Linked DNA regions of Lytechinus pictus. The main gene of each other region encodes a partner of the protein of the gene in region 2 in a complex. Links are inferred from orthologs where the notes say so. Each region holds a gene or a part of one and is shown on either strand. Other genes may lie near its edges. The genes, in order: N6-adenosine-methyltransferase non-catalytic subunit-like, E3 ubiquitin-protein ligase Hakai-like and protein virilizer homolog.

Region 1 (7,397 bases), on a different chromosome or scaffold from region 2:
GCAAAGCCCCAAAGTTATACTTTGTTAGCAACTCTGTATCAGTTATATACCATGCTGATTGCTGAAAGTTAAGTGTCGTGTATATATCGTCAGAATTTTTTTCTCGAAAGGTATAATATATTTGTCCTTTTAAATGATATTGGAATATGGGTATGCCTGTTATTGTTTTCCACAATATTCATTGCATGTATGAACAAAAGTGAAATATTTATTGTGAAGCACTGTGAATGTTGTTTGCAGTTGTGTGATGGTGCATCATGTTTGTTATAAGACTGTAAGCCTGGTGGATGTGATCGAGGAAGTGGCCTGGATGAAAGGAAAGTGAACATGTGTCCAATTACTGGTTTGCACATTTTAAGACAATTTTGTTTCTGGATAAATATTGCTATGTATTCCATGTGAAGAGTAAAGGAGAAGTCCACCCAACCAAAAATTCATTTGATTACAAAAAAAAAATATTCAGAAAATTTCATAAAAACTGATTCAAATTAAATAATAAAAAATAAAATGCTTAACAAAATTTGAAATGAATAAGATGTGACATAATCAACTCTAATGTGCATGTCATTGTTTTGTGTTTATAACTGTTTTGAGTAAAAAAACAAGGGAAATTACTCTATTCAAATAATTTTTACTTGATGTGGACTTGACATTTAACTCATCCTCTACCCCTCCCATCCCTGCCCAAATAAGTGCAGAATCTAATCAAGAACTTGAAAATCAAAAGCAGCAATTAAGTACGATTTAATAAATGCAGGTCTGAATAGAATCTCACATGAAAATAAAAAGAGAAAAAAAGAGCTGGGTAGGAATGGGGAAGGAATAAAATGATTTTACAAAAAATCCCCGAACAAAAAAATATCACGAGTTTCGAACCAGGGTCCTCGTACTCATCAAAATAACGTTTTACCGGTTTGGCCACAGACCGCTTCTTACTCGCACTGGGGCTTTTAAGGATATATGAAACAAAGTCCGTTCGCCACTGTTGCCTCATAATGCTTCGGCAATTCAACTGCAATTCCAATCATTTCGTGATGGATATTACCGTGTTTTTTGTGGTTCCTGACTTTGCTACGTAATGAAATTTCATAATTTTTGTTCAGGCGTGAAGAAGAATGTCTATGCTTTATATTGATTATAATATTAATGTGACGCAAGTGTGATTTCTAAGTGAAAATGTGCTTTGTTTATTCACATATATTTCTTGAAAAAAAAAATCATTTTTTCTAAGCTAAATATCGGTTACCAAAATACGTTAAATGTGCATTTTATTTCATTGTTCAGTAAATTCAAACTTTTATCTATATAACAAGACCAATCTTATGAGGAATAAACAATTCTAAGAGCAAAAAACGCTGATTGGAAAGGTCGTTTTCAATGGGCTGCTGTCAGCTCAGCTGCTCACCGCTCATTGTGTGACGTCACTCAGCTGGAGCTCGCAAGAGGACCGGTGGAAGGCAGAAATATGGCATGAAAATAAATCATTTTTGAGAGCCGATTTCTGCAAACTCTAATCACTATTTCAAAAAGTGAAGTTAGATATATGATAAGTAATCCTTCCCCTTTACAATGATGACCACAAAAATTAATTATAAAATAGTTTTGATTCTTCGGGTGTGTACTTTGATAGTAGAGGCGCATGGCCAATATGGGAGACTGTCACCATCATCATGATCTTGTTCTCTTTGTTATTAGCTTAGCTACGAGTAGACCAAAAGCTTCGGTCTCTGTTATGTTGGTTGTTCAGCTGAACTCCGTTGGCTTCACTCACCAAATACAGAGACCGAAGTTCTAGCGCGATCTGTACAGGGGACTCAATGGCCATATGTTTATGTGCATTAAGTTCGGATAAAACAGGGCAGTGAAGTTGCGCAACAGCCGAGGTAAGTCACTGTTTTTGTTCCTTTTAACTTGATTTTCCCCGTTTTTGGGGCAATTAATGCCAAGAGGGAATATTAATTTGCATTTCGGTTGGATTAATTTTCAAAAGTTTGATTCATTAAAGACAAAAATTGAAGAGCCCCGACATGGGGATTTTGCATTGTAAGTCCCCTAATGGTGGCTGCACGATAGCGAGCCGTCTGTGTACGAGGAGAAATTTAAAAAATAAAAAAATGTTAAAAAACTCCTCGAAACAGACGGCTGCCAGCTGTCTAAGCTACGAGACGCATATAGAGGGCGGCAACATCATGCCGTAAACATCGGTAAGTTTTCTCCCATCTTCTCATTATACATTTTTTGGTTTTTGAATGAATATTTGTTCAAAAATAAAATTGATAATGTATGATGGGGTGACCTAAAGCTACGCACCTTGTTTACAAATGATAAAAACTATGCCAATTTAAATATTTGGACAAATTATTTTTTGCTAATAATTTGTGGTTTATTAATTATATTCTAAAGTCTTTAACTTTTTAAGATCCTTACCCATGATGTTGCCGCCCTCTATATGCGTCTCGTAGCTAAGCTAATAACAAAGAGAACAAGATCATGATGATGGTGACAGTCTCCCATTATTGGCCATGCGCCTCTAGTCTCTGCTATTAAAAGTTTCACGAGACCTTAAGTAGGGCTCGACATTGCCATTGGCCACTCACACGTACCGGTATTGCGAGGTTAGTATTACTATTACTACCTCGCACCACGAACCTCGTTTGGCAGTGGATTTCTAACTAGTGGGTCGCGCGTGCTGGGATCTCACTTCTTGGGTCCACAACACACGACTTCTATGGCTTGATTTTTCTGTGCGCGGCGGCATGTAATGAACCCTTGGCCTGGGTGGACATTGGCTGCATTTCGGCGACGAGCGACGTAGACAACGGCTTGAATTTGCATTGCCCCACGCGTAAAGATCCGTGTTTCCTTTTTCTGTAACTTGTATTAAGTTAGAATGTTGTGTGTAAATTGACGTGGTAACACCGACTATATAAACAAATTTAGACTCACCTGCTGGGCAAGGATTTTTCTCCGCTGGGAGGACCGCGCTCTTATTGACTTCAGCCTTTCAGACATTCTCACTTTTAAAAGGAGTTTTGTATCGAGGAAAAAAACTTAGTTTGACGCTGGATGTTCCTTAGGATGGTGTCGCTGAGACACCAATATAGCAACAACAAAAAAGAAAAAAAAAGACAAGTCTTAGGATTGTTTGCAGTTTGGTTCTTGCCGTGCATGGTTTCTTAATTTCCTCTTATATTTCTACTTTCCAATTTCCACTCTAATTTTCCTTATATTTTCTTATTTATTTCTGACCGCCTTTTATTTCCTTTCCCGCTTGTCTTCTTCGTTCACTCACCAGTGGCGTAACAGGCGGGGGGGGGGGGGGGCAAGCTGCCCCCTCTGGCGGATTTCACCGGGAAAATAACAAAATGGGAAAAAGAAAAAAAAAAGAGAAAGAGAGAAGGGGAAAGAAAGAAAGAAAGAAATGAAGAAAAGAGGAAAAAGGAAAAGGGGAAGGCACAGGGGGCATTTGCCCCCAGTGAGTTGCACCCCCCCCCCCGAATTTTGAAAAAAAAATGTATAGTAAATGTTGTCATAAGCATCCTACTAAAGCTGCTAAGTGCTCCAAAACAGCTTTTTCGTTCTTTAGATTTGGAAAAATCTTCATAATTTTCATAAATGAAAAATGTTCAGCTCGCGCTACGCGCTCGCATCAATTTTATTGTTGGATTAAATAGCCATCCAGCCCATGATTGCAAAAAGTGCTTAGAACGTCCAGTTATCATCTCAGGATGTCAAAAATTTTCAGCTCGAGCTTCGCGCGCTCGCATTATTTATTTGGTGAGATATCATCTTCATGATTGACCCAATGCAAACAGCTAGTCCTTAACAGGTCCCTTTTCAAGTCAGTAGGGTCTACATAAAAAAAAATCAGCTCGTGCTTCTCGCTCGATTTTGAGAAATAGGCAAACCATTTGTGTGTTGCCCCCCCAAAAAATGCTATTTTGCCCCCCTCCCCCGGTTAACAATCCTGGTGCCGCCATTGCCCCGGACCCGATCCGCATATCACTGGCCCCCAAAAGCTCTACAACCGAGAACCAAAAAAAAAAGAAAAGATGAAAAAAAAGGAAAGGAAGATGTAAAATATATATTTTTTTAATACCATGTCAAAATCAATCTCAAAATTAGATTCTTATGAAAAGGTGACTTTTTTTCTCGCTCGCTTCGCTCGGTAATAAACAGTTCTGGAAATATATCAAAACCAGGCGCAAAGACAACGTAGGGATCCAGAGCCTTAAGAAGGGAAACGAAATCATCACTGATGACCAAGGGAAAGCAGACGCACTGGCCGAACAGTTCCAGAGCGTCTTCTCAAGAGACGAAACCCAAATCCCCAACCTTCCAACAAGAATATAACATCCCTGATATGCCAGATATCAACATCACGGTTAGTGGCATCATCAAGCTATTGAACAAGTTAGATGTCTCAAACCCGGGGGGGGGGGGGCACTCGACCAAAAAAGTGGTAGGGGTGTGCCGCGGGCGAGACAAAAAACGGGGGCCTTGGAGCGGGCTAATTGTAAAAAGGAGGGTCCTCGGAACGGGCTTCGGAACTACAAATGTTTGTGAAAACGGGGGTCCTTGGAACGGATCGCCAGCGTGTGATGAGTGCGCATGCATCCCTATGGAACGGGCATGCGTGCATGATACAGCTAGCGCGGCCTCCGCCGGGTGCGCTCGCGCAGAAGCGGCGATGGTCGGACAGCGCTCTGCGGCCGCTTTTCACCAAAATTGCAGCTCCTTGTAGCAGATCAATGCGACCGGAACGGCGTAACGAAAAATATGCGAAGCTTTGGAGCGGATTTCTCTATTCTTTTTTCTCGATAAGAAGAAAATGCTATGCTTTGGAGCGGCTTTCTTTGTTCTTTTTCTCAATAAGACAAAAATGCTATGCCTTGGAACGGAAATTTGAGTGTAAAAATGGGGGTCCCCTCCGCGGCACATACCCACTATGCATTATATATTGAGTGCCCCCCCCCCCCGGGGTCTCAAAGGCCGCAGGACCAGATAGCATACCAAACCGTGTTCTTAAACTTACAGCTGAAGAAATAGCCCCAGTCCTGCAATTCATATTTAAACAGTCATATGACCAAGGGATCCTTCCTGAGGATTGGCGTAAAGCGAACATCGCTGCTATTTACAAGAAGGGTCCTAAAAATGAACCAGCTAATTATCGCCCTATATCGTTGACCAGTGTATGCTGCAAACTTATGGAACATATAGTTGACAGCCATCTAATGACACACCTTACTACAAACTCAATCCTTTCTGACTACCAGCATGCTTTCAGACGGGGTAGATCATGTGACACATTATTAGTTGCCACAATCCATGATCTTGCTACTCATCACAACAACAAGGAGACATGTGACATCGCAATACTCGACTTCAGCAAAGCATTCGATGTCGTCCCCCACAAGAAATTGTTGCAGAAACTTCACTTGTATGGCATCCGTAGCAAGACCCTTGAGTGGATAAGATCCTTCCTGACCCAGAGATATCAAAGAACAGTAGTGAATGGTAAAACATCAAACTGGTTACCAGTCCTAAGCGGTATTCCACAGGGAACAGTCCTCGGGCCCCACCTCTTCATTTTGTACATAAACCATCTCTCAGAAGCAGTTCACAGCACGGCAAGACTGTTCGCAGATGACTGCATACTCTACCGAGCAATATCCAACCCCTCCGATGAGGATCTCCAGAAAGCGAGTACCAGGACATACCAATTACTCACTCCTTGGTCAACAACTTCAGGAAGTAAATAGCCATCAATACCTAGGAATACATAATTATAGAAAACAACCTAAAATGGGATAAGCAGTCACAACAGGCATCCGCCAAAGGTACGAGGGCTTTAAACTTCATCAGAAGGAACTTCTATCACTGCTCTAAAACAGTGAAAGAACGTCTATACCACACACTTGTTAGACCCCACCTGGAATATGCTTCGATAGCATGGCACCCAGGCACAATCAAGAACACCAAATTGCTGGAAATGGTTCAGAGACGAGCCGCCCGATTCGTCACAGGGAACTACACACGGGGATCCAGCGTTACAAACATAATGACAACACTTGGCTGGATGTCTCTCGAAGAAAGGAGGCGAAATCACCGAATCATCAACTTATATAAGATCATCCATGGAGAAACTCAACTTGACTTAAATAAATATGCCACAAGAAAAATAACAAGATTAAGAAGATCCCATGATGAACTGTATGACGTCTGAACAGACGTCACTTCAAAGTTCATCACAACTACCCAACTGGCTAATTACTTCTTCCCTGAAGCAATCTCCCACTGGAATAGTCTCACATCCGATACGGTATCCTCCAACAGCACTGATATACTTAAAGTAAAACTAAACATGCAAATCATGCAACAAAACAAAACAGAGTAACAGTACTCCCACTCTCGTCAGCCCTGAGTTACCCTTCCTGGTGGAGGACTTCAGGGAATAGAACTGCAAGGTACAAGGTACAAGCTCGGGACTTATATTAAGCAATTTTTTGCTGCGTGCGCCATACTGTGCCTCCCTTTTTTTGTACTTGTCACGCAATGAGCTTAGCTCTATGGCAATGCTCGGGGCCACAATCATAAAAAAATCTTGTTCATACCATGATGTGGTATGGAGATATATATATTACCCTGTTGTGCTAAAACATCCCGTTTTCAAGTCAGTATACACTAAATATATTTCCTCGCCGAGATATTATCGTTTTATGTAGTGACATATGCTTCTTTTTCAAGACTTGCTTGCCTCCTTTTAAGGTCTGATTATAAAACATTTCCAGACAGTGCTTACCTTCGCATTATGTGGATTGGTGAGATATGTCTAACCTTCATGAATTCCTAAAATCCGTCCTTAAAATGTCCCCTTTTCTGATCGGAATATCAACAATTTTCAGCTCGTGCTTCGCGCTCGCATCATTTGGTTAGTGAATTCCTATACAAACAAGCCTTAGGATGCCCCTCTTCAGATCTGAATTCAGCTCGCGCTCGCAATATTTGTTTGGTGAGACGCGTATGAATAGGTGCTTCATGATTGTGTTTAGATGTAATTCTAACAAAATCAGCAAACGCTTTGAACTCGCATCAGATGAATATGGTGAGATATATACTCTTAATGGAGTCCCCCCCCCCAAAAAAAAAGTCCTTAAAATGTCCCTGTTTGGGGACAATATTATACAAATATTTCAGTTCGCGCTTCGCGCTTGCATTGTTTGTTTAGTAAGACACGTACGTATTATGTTTACAAAAATTTGCTTATAATGTCCCTTTTTAGGTCTAAATATAAAATAATACTAAATAGGTTCATTATTGCGGAATGAAATAATCGCTAGATGGTATTCATTTGTCTCGCAATCTACTATGGTCAACAAGGATAAAGAGTTGCAGCG
Region 2 (7,103 bases):
GCCGCCGTGAACTTTGAAAGGTCGTACTATTGACGGAGCTCATTGCGTTACTCTCTTACATCGTTTATGATGATTTACATTTTATTTTCAACCTCGTGGTGATAGCGGACCCCGCCGTGAACTTTTAAAGATCGTGCTACTGACGGAGCTTATTGCGTTACTCCCTTACATCGTTTATGATGATATACATTTTATTTTCAACCTCGTGGTGATAGCGGATGCCGCCGTGAACTTTGAAAGGTCGTACTATTGACGGAGCTCATTGCGTTACTCTCTTACATCGTTTATGATGATTTACATTTTATTTTCAACCTCGTGGTGATAGCGGACCCCGCCGTGATCTTTTAAAGATCGTGCTACTGACGGAGCTTATTGCGTTACTCTCTTACATCGTTTATGATGATATTCATTTTATTTTCAACCTCGTGGTGATAGCGGACCCCGCCAGAAACTTTTAAAGACTGTACTATTGACGGAACTTATTGCGTTACTCTCTTACATCATTTATGATGATATTCATTTTATTTTCAACCTCGTGGTGATAGCGGAAGCCGCAGTGAACTTTGAAAGGTCGTATTACCGACGGAGCTCACTGCGCTACTCTCTTACATCGTTTATAATGATATAAATCTTCTCTTCAACCTCGTGGTGATAGCGGACCCCGCCAGAAACTTTTAAAGACTGTACTATTGACGGAGCTTATTGCGTTACTCTCTTACATCATTTATGATGATATTCATTTTATTTTCAACCTCGTGGTGATAGCGGATGCCGCCGTGAACTTTGAAAGGTCGTACTATTGACGGAGCTCATTGCGTTACTCTCTTACATCGTTTATGATGATTTACATTTTATTTTCAACCTCGTGGTGATAGCGGACCCCGCCGTGAACTTTTAAAGATCGTGCTACTGACGGAGCTTATTGCGTTACTCCCTTACATCGTTTATGATGATATACATTTTATTTTCAACCTCGTGGTGATAGCGGATGCCGCCGTGAACTTTGAAAGGTCGTACTATTGACGGAGCTCATTGCGTTACTCTCTTACATCGTTTATGATGATTTACATTTTATTTTCAACCTCGTGGTGATAGCGGACCCCGCCGTGATCTTTTAAAGATCGTGCTACTGACGGAGCTTATTGCGTTACTCTCTTACATCGTTTATGATGATATACATTTTATTTTCAATCTCGTGGTGATAGCGGATGCCGCCGTGAACTTTGAAAGGTCGTATTACCGACGGAGCTCTCTGCGTTACTCTCTTACATCGTTTATGATGATATACATTTTATTTTCAACCTCGTGGTGATAGCGGATGCCGCCGTGAACTTTGAAAGGTCGTACTATTGACGGAGCTCATTGCGTTACTCTCTTACATCGTTTATGATGATTTACATTTTATTTTCAACCTCGTGGTGATAGCGGACCCCGCCGTGATCTTTTAAAGATCGTGCTACTGACGGAGCTTATTGCGTTACTCTCTTACATCGTTTATGATGATATACATTTTATTTTCAACCTCGTGGTGATAGCGGACCCCGCCGTGAACTTTTAAAGATCGTGCTACTGACGGAGCTTATTGCGTTACTCCCTTACATCGTTTATGATGATATACATTTTATTTTCAACCTCGTGGTGATAGCGGATGCCGCCGTGAACTTTGAAAGGTCGTACTATTGACGGAGCTCATTGCGTTACTCTCTTACATCGTTTATGATGATTTACATTTTATTTTCAACCTCGTGGTGATAGCGGACCCCGCCGTGATCTTTTAAAGATCGTGCTACTGACGGAGCTTATTGCGTTACTCTCTTACATCGTTTATGATGATATACATTTTATTTTCAATCTCGTGGTGATAGCGGATGCCGCCGTGAACTTTGAAAGGTCGTATTACCGACGGAGCTCTCTGCGTTACTCTCTTACATCGTTTATGATGATATACATTTTATTTTCAACCTCGTGGTGATAGCGGATGCCGCCGTGAACTTTGAAAGGTCGTATTACCGACGGAGCTCACTGCACTACTCTCTTACCTCCTTTATGATGATAGACATCTTCTCTTCAACCTCGTGGTGATAGCGGACCCCGCCGTGAACTTCAAATTGATTTGAAAACGCTAGCTACCCAAAGCATTTTAATAACATATTTCAAATCATCGTGCGTGCTTGCGTCGTCTACTTCATTTTAATTGCACTTGCGACTTTAAGATGATGCGTCGTAAGAGATCATTCCAATAATTCTAAATCGCTAGCACCTAAAAATACTTCTAAAAGATGTCCCGCCGATCGTTCATTAACCTGTGATCTATGAGAAATATTTTCATTTTATTTTCCTTTGCGCCTTTGCTCGGAAGGTGCGTCTTTCGTTTATCTTTCTAATAAAAATCACTCGGTTTATTTTAAAGCAATAACACCTCAAAACCCCTGGCTTTAAAACATGTTCCAAACGATCGCGCATGTTGGCGACTTCCATTCCAAAGCATTCGTCTTTGTGACTTTGTCAGGAAGATGCGCGCGACCGCGAACAACATTTTGATGTATTCCTTTGTTTTTAAACATCACCGATTCGATTTTCGATTCGATTTCGATTTTAGAAGCTTAACTGCCGATCCGATTTTCGATCTGATTTTTGATCCGATTTACAACATTACAAGAGACAATTACAAATGTACCAGATACATCATGAAGTACTGGATCATCCGGCAGGCAAGCATTGATAAGTATTTATTATACATTTTCAGATAAACATGTTTAATTGTAAACAGTAAAGGCAAAAACTGAAAAAGCCTAAATAAATTACTACCCGAATTCAAATTTAGCCAACACGAAATTCAACATGTGGGCACATGATCTTCTTTTTTTTTAAGTTCTTATTTTATGACGGGTCCGATACCGTTTTCTTCACTGTTAATTTGTACCAAACTATTGTAAAATTAATTTAAATCATGGCCATGATCACATCCATATAACCTCTACAGTTTATGAACTTCAAAATTTGTTATCAATGAAAATGAATTTCTCAAAAATTAACTCAAACGATCGATATGATCTCACCTAATCGTGACTCCCACGCTTGTTGTCCACGGTTATCGGATCGCGGAGCTGTGAACCGGCACACCTACGTACCGGATACCGGTTTCTTATTGAATAGATAGTCTTTGTTGAACAGCCCTGACTTTTTTCTTGGTGTAGACCCTATAATAATCAAGGGCTACACCCCGGCAAGAAGTTGATTTGAATAAAAAGTCTAACCATAACACTGAAAATGTTCATCAAAATCGAATACAAAATAAGAAATAAGAAAGTTATGACATTTTAAAGATTCGCTTAATTTCACAAAACATTAATATGCACATCCTGGTTGGTATTGCAATGTGGGGCCTGATTATGACATCACCCATTTACTATTTATTTTGTAGTTTATTATATAAAGTATGAAATAATCGAATCTCTCATTTTTATATCACTGAATTGTGTATACAACTGCTTTACAAGCGTATCTTCAAATGATCACAACTTTTTTTTTATTTCACATCCGATTTTGATGATATTTTCAAAGTTATGCTTGCTTGATTGATTCAAATCAACTTTTTCTCTGAGGTGGAGCTTGACCTACACTGTTAGAAAAAACATAAGATTTCACAGAAGAAAAAAAAATTAACAGATTTTACAAAAAAAAAAAAATCAAATCATCCTGTGAATTGTTATAACAGGAAAGATTTTTTGCAATATTCTATAAGTTTACAGAACAAGTCTGTTATAAAAAAGGGAAAACAGTTTTATTACAATTTTCTGTAATTTTACACAAAAGATTACACAGTGCAATAAGGTTATAGGAGTTCCGAAACTCTGCTGCAGGAATATTTGGGGGTTTTCTAAGTGGGAAATTTTCTAACAGTTTATATTTATCATAAGAACGATTGTTTAGGGGTTTTTCCCCTTTTTGTTGTTGCTGTTGTTATTAGTGTTGAATGTAATTTTTCTTGCTAGGCCTACTGATTTTTTTTATTTGTTATTTTTACCTCTGTCATTTTTTTTTACCTCTGCCATTAATTGCGTCTGCATCTGCCGCGCTATTTTTAATTTTTGCCACTGCATTTTTTTTCTCTGCCATATGCCCATATGTTTAGACCGAAACCTAATCAAGGGCGGATGCCGGGAGTGGGCCGATCAAAAATAGAAATAAGTAGAAAAGAAAAATAATGAAAATGGAAATAGGTGATCAGTGAAGGGGAGAAAAATGAAAAGGGGAGAAAAGGCGACCGCACACCTTACGATTGGTCTGCGACTCAAGTTTTGGAATACAACGTAGTAGAATTTGAGACTTGGAATTTCTTACTGCATGTGTAATGCTCAAATTCATCGTACGAATACCTATGTTCAAATCTGTGACTATGCTATCATCCTTCTTAGAATAAAAGCAATTTCAATATCTAGTCGTAATCACTAGCGTACCTACGGGGGGGGGGCAGGGGGGCACTCTGCCCCCCTGACGAGTGACAACCCATGCAAAAACGTATCTTTACCCCCCCTGACGGGCTTGAAAAACCTTTTTTGCCCCCCCCCCCCCCTGACGAGCTTTAAGACCTTCAATGCCCCCCTGACGAGCTTGAAGACCTTTTTTTTTTTTTTTTTTTTTTTTTTTTTTTTTTTTTTTTTGCTTGTCAAATTTTTGGGCGGACGGTTTTGCCCCCCTGTGGAAAATCCTAGGTACGCCACTGGTCGTAATGACGTCATATCAGTCGTACGATTGGCTACGATTCGAAACTAATTTGGCCTTTACTCCAAAATAAAGGCTTGCAATCTTTCAAAATGGTTATATTAGTATTCTTTCAATTAATTTTAACCTTGAATAAAATGATATGTTCCATTTACATTTTCAGAAAATGAGCAAAATGCGATTTGTTCAAAATCGGATCGCGAACAGTCGTAAGGTGTGCGGTGGCCTTAAAGGGGAATGAAACCTTTGGAACAGATAGGTTTGTGTCTAAACAGAAAAATAAAAAAATAAAAACAAAGAAAATTTGAGAAAAATCGGACAAATAATGAGAAAGTTATGAGCATTTGAATATTGCAATCAATAATGCCATAGAGATCCTCCTATTGGCAATGCGACAAGGATGTGTGATGTCACATGTGAACAACTTTCCCTTTGATGGACTATAAAATACCCCAAAAATGTATCTTTTTGCCTTTTCTGATGATGATACAAACTCTTTATCCATGATGTATTCTTTAAAAATCTGTATTACATGCCCTCCTATAGAAAGAACACATGATCTACTGATGGATGTGATAAAAGAGGCAGTTTAAAAGAAATATATACTAAAATAATGGGGAGAGTTGTTCACAAGTGACATCACACATCTTTGTCGCATTGCCAATTTGAGGATCTCCATAGCATTAGTGATCATAATATTCAAATGCTCATAACTTTCTCATTATTTGTCCGATTTTTCTCAAACTTTCGTTGATCTGTTTCTTTGATTTTTCTGTTTTCACACAAGCTATCTTGTTCCAAATGTTTCATTCTCCTTTAAGAGACTGTGCCGACTGTGTATATAGGCCTGCCAAAAAAGCTGGCGAAAACTGAAACTGTCCTGTTCACCACTCGCTTCGCCCTCTCTCAAAGATCAGTAAATATATAAGGGATCTGCACATGCAGGTGATGTATTTGAATATTTGCCTATAAATCAGTCGACGGTAAAACAAAACATTATTATCTGCAATTGCATTCCACGAACTGTAAAAGTAAATTCAATGTGTACCAACCATAGAGATATATACTAATAACGCTAGTGGTACCAACTGGTACTGAAAGAATATACCCCCCCCCCCCCTCCCCTGCCAGCAATAAAAAAAGTGTTCTTTCCTATGCTTCAAGTGCAATTAAATAAATTCCCCGGTCTAAGAAATTGAAAAGATAACAATATCATTGTTATCATTTCATTTTCTATATAAGATAACGAAATTAGGCTTATATATATAGCGACAATTATCCTAAGTTTACCCCCCCCCCCATGTTACTAATGGGTCTGGTATAGTTGGGAAGAGGGTTTAGGTGGTTAGCTAACCTTTCCCCGTCCCCGGAGAGAAAAAAAGTTAGTTAAAAGCTAGAGGGGAAGATAGTGTGGTACTTTGGTGACATAATTCTGCTCATGTCTTTTTGCCTATTTGTTACTCTTTTTTGTATCTTTATTGATATAAATTAACATAATTTGTTACTCGGGTAAATACATTATAAATACCTGCATTCTAGGGTTTCGGGCATTCAGAGGATGTCTATATCTGTTGCTAGCGATTCATCCAGTAAATCATATATATGCGGACATTTGAACTACTGTACTTATATCATCTATATGATGGACGATTGGTTCCAATCAGTGGACATTCAACCTGGAAAACTTATGTTAGCAGGGGCTCGGAACCGGGCGCTTGGAACGAAGGGGGTTTAAGTCCCCCATTTTTTCAGCAAATGTGTACAAAAACGTTAAAAAATGCCTTTCTCATTCTGTTTTTTTTTTTTGCATGGCCACCCCCGGCCCCCTAACCCACCCCATTTTCAAAACCCTTGCTTAGTGTAATACTAATTAGTTATGCTACCCATAAATTCTTTTATAGGATTTTTGAATTTCTTCTTTTCAGGGGCCTGGCTGGTATTAAAAAAAATCAGCTCGCGTTATTTTTCTATCTGGAGTAATGATCGAAGACCTAAATAAACTCCTTTTTTGAGAAACAACCTATTAAAATATAAATTATACATAAATGTGAACCTCGATCCTACCCGTGCTTGATCAATCCCTCTGGTCCATATTTTTTTCAGAACCTGACCCCCCCCCCCCCCCATAAATTCTAGATAGAATTCATGTGGGGGATCGAGCCGGGGAACGATTTTTGTGGACGGGGTACAGTTTCTTTCTGTTCTACTTCTGCTATTCCTGTTATTACCCCGGACTATATATTCCTCTCACTTACCCTCCTACATGGCTTGTTCTTCATGCTCGACCCCCCCCCCTGATCTCTCCTCTAGAGGAGAGATCAGTGCCCCCCCCCCCTTCGGTTTGGGAGTATGGAACTCCGATTACTATGCAGTTCAGT
Region 3 (7,586 bases), on a different chromosome or scaffold from region 2:
ATCATGCCCCTTGAAGGAAAAAATCGGATATAAAAAATCGGCATACCTGTAGATCTAGTTACAGTGCGGTCAGAACATATTTCAAGATTGTTCTTGCAGAGGTGCTAGCTATTTAGAGCTTTTTAACAATCGAATAGTTCGAACAATTGAGATTCCTAGAATGTCAGAAATGACTCATAAAAGGTTGACCTACTTATGATGACCTACCGGTAGCTGCGCTGACTGGTATGGCAGGAGTGTAACTTGGAATGAATGTATTGTATAATATACAAACAATGAACATGTACTTGTACTGTGTTTGTCATTTATCCCGCCCATGAGTGCACACAATGGCCAATAGCAATGGAGTTTGAGAGCTGTATGTGACTGCATGGGTGCATGAATGTGTTGTATGCATTATGTATGCTAGTGCTTATGCTGATAAATCCCGCCCATAAGTGAATACAATGGACCAATAGCAAGGGAGTTTGAAAGCTGTGTGTGACTGCATGAATGTGTTGTACGCATTATGTATGATAGTGCTTACGCTGATAAATCCCGCCCATGAGTGAATACAATGGACAAATGACAAGGGAGTTTGAGAGCTATGTGTGACCGCGTGGGTGTAGGAATGTATTGTGTGTATTACGTATGCTAGTGCTTGCGCTAATTTTTGTCATAATCCCGCCCATGAGTGCACACAATGGCCAATAGCAATGGAGTTTGAGAGCTGTATGTGACTGCATGGGTGCATGAATGTGTTGTATGCATTATGTATGCTAGTGCTTATGCTGATAAATCCCACCCATAAGTGAATACAATGGACCAATAGCAAGGGAGTTTGAGAGCTGTGTGTGACTGCATGAATGTGTTGTACGCATTATGTATGCTAGTGCTTACGCTGATAAATCCCGCCCATGAGTGAATACAATGGACGAATGACAAGGGAGTTTGAGAGCTATGTGTGACCGCGTGGGTGCAGGAATGTATTGTGTGTATTACGTATGCTAGTGCTTGCGCTAATTTTTGTCATAATCCCGCCCATGAGTTCACACAATGGACGAATAGCAAGGGAGTTTGAGAAATGTATATGAATGCTGGGTGCATGGATGTGTTGTATATGCTAGTCAATGCCCTGCTTAAATCCCGCCCATAAGTGCACACACGGCCTAGGTACGAATAATAGCAAGGGAGTTTGAGAGCAGTGTGTATGGATGTGTTGCGTGTTGTATGTATCATGTAAGCCATACTTGCAGTGATATATTGTCATTAATCCAGCCAGTGAGCCAACTCAAAGAATAGCACTGTTAGCAGTGTCAATCAAACCCACCACGTGCACATGCCAAAAGGTAGTGTAAAGAATTTTGCGCTAGCCCGTTGAGTCTGGGCGGTTCCAGTTCTCGGCTATGCCACAAAACTATCTTGTATTGTGTGAATGCTTGCGCGCATTGCGTAATTCACTGATATTGTTGAGTGGGTGGGTATACAAAAAGATCGATACTGAGGCGTGACTTAACTTTTCCCAGAACTGATTCGGAGAAATGATGTACCAAGTAAGCTATTATAACAAAATGGGTGTACTTTGGAATGGTTATTGGGCGTGGCTGTAATCACATATTATAATGAGCGAACTTAGCTGAGCTCAGCTTCACATAAAAATACTTATAAAAGATGTCCCGCCGATCGTTCATTGACCTGTGATCTACGAGAATTATTTTCCTTTGCGACTGCTCGGAAGATGCGTCATTCGCTTATCTTTCTTATAAAAATCACTCATTTTATTGTTAAGCAGTTAAACCTCAAAACCCTTTAAAAGCATGTTCCAAACGATCGCGCATGTCGACTACTTCCATTCCTAAACATTCGTCTTTGTGACTTTGTCAGGAAGATGCGCGCGACCGCGAACAAAATGTTGATGTATTCCTTTGTTTTTAAACATCGCCGATTCGATTTTCGATTCGATTTCGATTTTAGAAGCTTAACTGCCGATCCGATTTTCGATCTGATTTTTGATCCGATTTACAACATTAATTCACAACCTAAAATACTTGCATCTGAGCCTCCAAAGTCCAGTAGAAGTTGAATATTTGCCGTTTTGACACTTTTTTACAAAGTTTTACACCTATTTCGGAATCACTCGGTCGCTTGATCAAGCTCAGCGCTGCACATAAGCAGTCGGTACGCGTACAGTACGTACCACCTAGTGAAGTGCAGTATTACGGTAGTGGTTTTTCACATTTCTTATTTCATTCAAACAAGCACACATACGCACACCCCACACACACCTTCACAGTGATTCACACAACAAACATCAACCACTCTGCACAACCACTACCGTAATACTTGGTGCAAGCTGAAAGAGGGGAAAAAATCTTTTTGAAGATACCATAGAAAAACTCGCTCTTCTTGCACGTCACTAGGTGGTACGTACTGTACGCGTACCGACTGCTTATGTGCGTGCAGCGCTGAGCTTCAAGCGACCGAGTGATTCCGAAATAGGTGTAAAACTTTGTTTAAAAAAATGTCAAAACGGCAAATATTCAACTTCTACTGGACTTTGGAGGCTCAGATGCAAGTATTTTAGGTTGTGAATTATTTAGGGTGAGATTGTACATGTTTGAAAACCATTAAACGGGGAGGTGCGAAACTACACTAGCGCCAGCACATGTTGGTTAGTGAATGATTTTTACTCTCTAAGAGCCTCCTGTCTGGCTACTCCAGCCCCATCCGCACCGCGCCTCGCCGGCCGTCGGCCGCGCCTTGCATAGCCATAGGCGGCGGAGCTAGCTTATTGCCGATTGCCAATGCCATGATTGGGTGGACTCACCTCACTCGTTTCGTGGGTTAGCGTGTCGAAGAAAAGAACCTCCATACTGCAAACGTTTCAAACTTGATCAAGGTTCAAATCTTCAAATTCTTTCTGTAGTTGTTCAAAACCAAATCAAGAACAAGGTGATTTTGCAAAGGAAGGATAATGTCAGAAATTTGCGAGTCATTCTGTATTTGTTACTCCCTGATTAGGACGACGGGACTCGGTAAGGCGGCCATGGCAAAAAATGTTATCGTTACTGTGTCTTTAACTGTGTCAACGAAAATGGGGAAAATGGCGATAGTATTAGACAGTGATGATAGTTGTTTTTATTTACCATTTGCAATTTGCATAGCATTTATTGTTAAAAGAATACCCAGCTAAGCACTCCCTTTGTTCTGTGTATATACATTGTATCTACATGTGTGTAAACCAGTGAAAAAAAGAAGAATTTCTTTTATGGACAATTAAGTTATTCCATTCAATTCAATTCAGTTCAATAGCAGAGGGAAGCGCCAACATCCCCCGGAAAATCCCAAGGAAGAACAGGGGTATTTTGTAAATACCGCTGAAATGGGCCATCCTCCATGTTTGACAGGATTTGTATGATTTGTTAAATTTGAACATATATATATATATATATATATATATATATATATATATATATATATATATATAAATGTGTGAAGTTATACATGTACTAAGCTTTGGCAACTCTTTTATATTTAAATATTGTGTGAAAGAAATGGATGAAGAGAACAATGGTAGGCGTAGCTTAAATCAAGGTTCCCCAGAGCTATCTACCCTTTTTGGAAAAATTGGTGATGCCGAAAAAATGTCTCTGCCGGGAATCGAACCCGGGCCCCCAGCTTTGAACGCCGGTGCCTTAACCACTAGACCACAGAGACGGGTTAGTGGCTAGGGCGACCCCGATCCAATTGACCGTCAGATAGACAGATTTTCGACACCATACCAATTATGAATTATCACCAAGTTGAATATATTCCATAATGACAAATTAATGAATGAACAGATAAATAAATTAATGAATAATAAATAATTAATTCAATTAAAATAATAATGATATAAATGAAAAAGACATACCTGTAATTACAGACTATTGTGATAGTTAAGTATATTCATATATATGGAATAAATACAAACAATGCAAGTAACTCATCAATGATCTTGCATCAAGTGTGTGGTTATGATGAAACAAGTACGTTTGTAAATGCTTTTAAATATTGTTACTAACTTTAAAAAACAGAAACCAATTCAAACATTATTTTAAATACACTAGAGTGAGGGGCATGATCCTCACACTTTTTTTTAGGAAACCTGGGACAATTTTTGCAAATAGATCGTTAGGCCTTGTCCCATCATGCCCATTAAATGTACGTTGAGTTATTGATAACATTGATCAAATCAATGTCCTGAATAACTCTCAAAAACGAAGAGCTAATTTAGCTAGTGACTGCTGATTTGTCTAGTTCAAATTCTTTTTGTTCCTTCTCATTTTTTCTATCCTGCATATATACGCATACATGAATAAGTCGGCAATATTTTTTTTTTTCATTTCCACGGGGGATCCACACTTTACAAGCTTTGCTATTATAGTGGACCCCCCCCCTCATTTCCATTAATTGCATTAGTGAACATAATAATAATTTAAAAAAAACATTCCAAATAGAATGAAATTTTTTCAGAATTTAGAATGTTGCATTATCTCTGAATAAAAATTTAAAGGGCATATCCTCCCCATATATGAATGAAGAGAGAAAATATCATTAATATAATTTTATCAAAATCGGATGTAAAATAAAGTTATATTATGACATCGCAAAATTATGACATCATAAAATAGTTAGCTGCATATTCTGGTCGTTATGCAAATTAATGAAAGGAATGATGAAATATGAAATAACTTAATTCACTAAACATAAACATGCTTCATTATAGTAAAATCTGCAAAAATTGAAACATTCTTTATTTCCTACCATAAAATCACTAGCGTACCTAAGGGGGAGGGGGCAATTTTTTTCTGGTAGGAAATGTTCTTTATTTGCGGTTGAAGACTTTTTTTTTTTTTTTTTTTTTTGCTTGTCAAATTTTTTTCTGGTACGAAATCCTTTATTTGTGGTTGAAGACCTTTTTTTTTTTGGGGGGGGGGGGGGCTTGTCGAATTTTTTCGCGGACGAAATATCCTCCAAAAAATTTGCCCCCTTTTGGAAAATCCTAGGTACGCCGCTGCATAAAATACAAAATAAATAGTGAGTGACATCATCCATACTCTCATTTGATATTACGTTGGACATGTTTTTCTATTAAAAAAATAAAAGTTACAACTTTCTTTTTTATCTCCGATTTTGGTGAAATTTTCCGCATTATACTTGAGTTTTTTCTATTTATTCAGATTCACTTTTTTTTTGGGGTGGACTTGCCCTTTAAAGTTTATTCAAAAATTTTCGTGTCTGCAGTCTTTTTATTTTGATATTTGCATCATCGTGTTATTTACACGTTTTTAGGGGGAGTTACAGTGTGATCTGTGATAGCATCATTCGTCCACTCTATTTTGGATAATAATAATCCTATTCTTTCCCACTAACATCTTACCTCTAAACATCTCACCGTTTAATCCTCATTTATACTTGTTTTGATATATAAAGAAATATTTTTCCTTATTTGTGAAGTGTTTTTTTTTTCACTATTGATTAGTCACCCTCATTTTCCTTTGTGAATATAATATGCACATAATTTTAAACGAGTGCAGCAATTTTTAAGACCCACTCACTACCTTTAAAGGTGCAGACCAGGGCCCCATCTTACAAAGAGTTACGATTGATCCATGCAATCAATAGTAATTCTATGGAAATCCATCAGTGTCATAATATTTTCTACAGGAAATTTGCAAAATGTCCTTTGTAAACAAAGGAAAACACACCAAATTGTCAAGAAATCAATGACTTTATGGATATACATTCATATATAGAACAATTTTTGAACAAACATGCATTTCATGTGTTGACTTGGCTGGCCTCCCATAGTTGCAATTGATCGGATCAATCGCAATTCTTTGTAAGACGGGGGCCAGATGGCACAATGGGAGCACCTTTAAGGTTTAACTTTGTACCTTTCAGAGAGGTGCAAAGTTGCACCTTTCCAAAAAGGTACAAAGTTGCACCTTAAAGCTGCACCCAGTGTGACTTCTGGTCTGCACCTTTAAAGGTGCAAACTCGGGGGGGGGGCAAAGTTGAATCTATTTTTTTAGTGTACAGACCCAAAATTGCTCAAAAACGTGGATTCGTGTACAAATCTAATGCAAATAGTTTTTTTAGCCCAAATTCATAAATGTATCATTATTTTTCCTTTTACTGATTAAAATCGATCAATTTCATCTTGTTTATGGTCAAAATAAATTCCCCGACAATCTCAATTGGAAAAAAACTTAACAATTAAAAACAAAAATTCGAAAAACAAAGAATTAGGCCTACATAAGAAATTTAAAAAATAATAAAATACATGAGAAAATAAATGAGATGTTTAAATTTTTAAAAACGCATTTGATCAGATTCCTATATGTGAACCCAAAATTAGCATTTTAGGGGCAATATTTAGTTCATCAGAGCACCCTTTTGATTTTATGCATAAATTAGCAAAATAACCATAATTTTTTAGATTTTTCGCAGAATTTGATCTTATAGTTTTGCATATTATGCCAGGGGTAGCGCGTGCCAATTTTCGTCTCAGCCTCCCCCCCCCCCCCCCCCGTCGTCTTAGGCGACGAAATGGCCCAGTCTATTTATATTAGGGTTAACGTGCTGATTTTCCATCGGAGCGATTGCATGTCGCCGGAGAAAATGTCATGGAACGATAATAAAGAGTAGGAAAATTATAATTTGATTTGATACGAATCTGTTCGCATTTTTTACGATCCATGCATATTTCATAAGCCCAAAATTATGGAAGAAATCGATACCTGTAAATAAAGACAATACACTCTAATACATGTAGAAATAGTATTATTTATTTTCCGATTCGAAAAATCAAAAACAAACACAACGATACAGATTGGCTTACATATTTACAGTTTGCATAACTGTAGGAAATATAAACGAGCTGGATTACACTCTTAAAATAATTGGGCAAAAAATGCCCAACTTTTAACCAACCCTGGGCAACATACTGTCCACACAACTATCGGTTAAAATCTGTGCAAATTGGGTAATAAAAACTAATAATTGGGTAATAAATTTGCTCAACTGGATAATAACTGCCTATAAATATATATATATATTTATATACGAATATGCTTCCAACATACATTACCCAACACAGAGGACAGTATGTTGCCCAACATCTATCTGCTGTGTCAAAATGCTGTTCTGCAATGGGGGTACAGTCAAGAAAAGAACAGAGGTAAAAATAGAAGGAAATGAAGTGAAATAATAATGATAACAATAATAATAATAATAATAATAATAAACAATAATAATAACAATTATAATAATAATAATAAATAATAATAATAATAATAATATGGTCCATTAATATAGCTCAGTTCCTATATGCATATATTCTACTGCGCTTGATACTTGGTAATTACCATGGCTATTAGCTGAGCCGCCATTATAGGCGCTAAAGCGTTCAAGAAATAAATCCTACCGGGTACTAATTCACCTCACATGGGTAGGGCCCTGGGAACGATTTTATTGAGTGGGGGTGCTGAAGTAAATTTAAAAGGAAAAAAAAAAGTTTTCACAACCAAAATGGAGATCAAATTGGTCCCGAGAAATTTGGA

Evidence for each region.
Region 1: E3 ubiquitin-protein ligase Hakai-like (region 2) and N6-adenosine-methyltransferase non-catalytic subunit-like share a complex: the UniProt entries of both Homo sapiens proteins name them as parts of the WMM complex. The link is inferred for Lytechinus pictus from reciprocal best matches to the Homo sapiens genes CBLL1 and METTL14.
Region 3: E3 ubiquitin-protein ligase Hakai-like (region 2) and protein virilizer homolog share a complex: the UniProt entries of both Homo sapiens proteins name them as parts of the WMM complex. The link is inferred for Lytechinus pictus from reciprocal best matches to the Homo sapiens genes CBLL1 and VIRMA.

What each region holds. Positions count from the first base shown.
Region 1 is NC_087262.1:6,678,601-6,685,997, forward strand, and holds the start of N6-adenosine-methyltransferase non-catalytic subunit-like, read right to left. Parts: upstream 3,092-7,397; 5' UTR 3,013-3,091; coding exon 2,947-3,012; intron 1-2,946. UniProt on the Homo sapiens protein: The METTL3-METTL14 heterodimer forms a N6-methyltransferase complex that methylates adenosine residues at the N(6) position of some mRNAs and regulates the circadian clock, differentiation of embryonic stem cells and cortical neurogenesis.
Region 2 is NC_087247.1:8,408,492-8,415,594, forward strand, and holds the start of E3 ubiquitin-protein ligase Hakai-like, read right to left. Parts: upstream 3,107-7,103; 5' UTR 3,060-3,106; exon of another isoform or gene 2,040-3,059; intron 1-2,039. UniProt on the Homo sapiens protein: E3 ubiquitin-protein ligase that mediates ubiquitination of several tyrosine-phosphorylated Src substrates, including CDH1, CTTN and DOK1. Targets CDH1 for endocytosis and degradation.
Region 3 is NC_087246.1:52,279,916-52,287,501, forward strand, and holds the start of protein virilizer homolog, read right to left. Parts: upstream 3,054-7,586; 5' UTR 2,852-3,053; coding exon 2,807-2,851; intron 1-2,806. UniProt on the Homo sapiens protein: Associated component of the WMM complex, a complex that mediates N6-methyladenosine (m6A) methylation of RNAs, a modification that plays a role in the efficiency of mRNA splicing and RNA processing.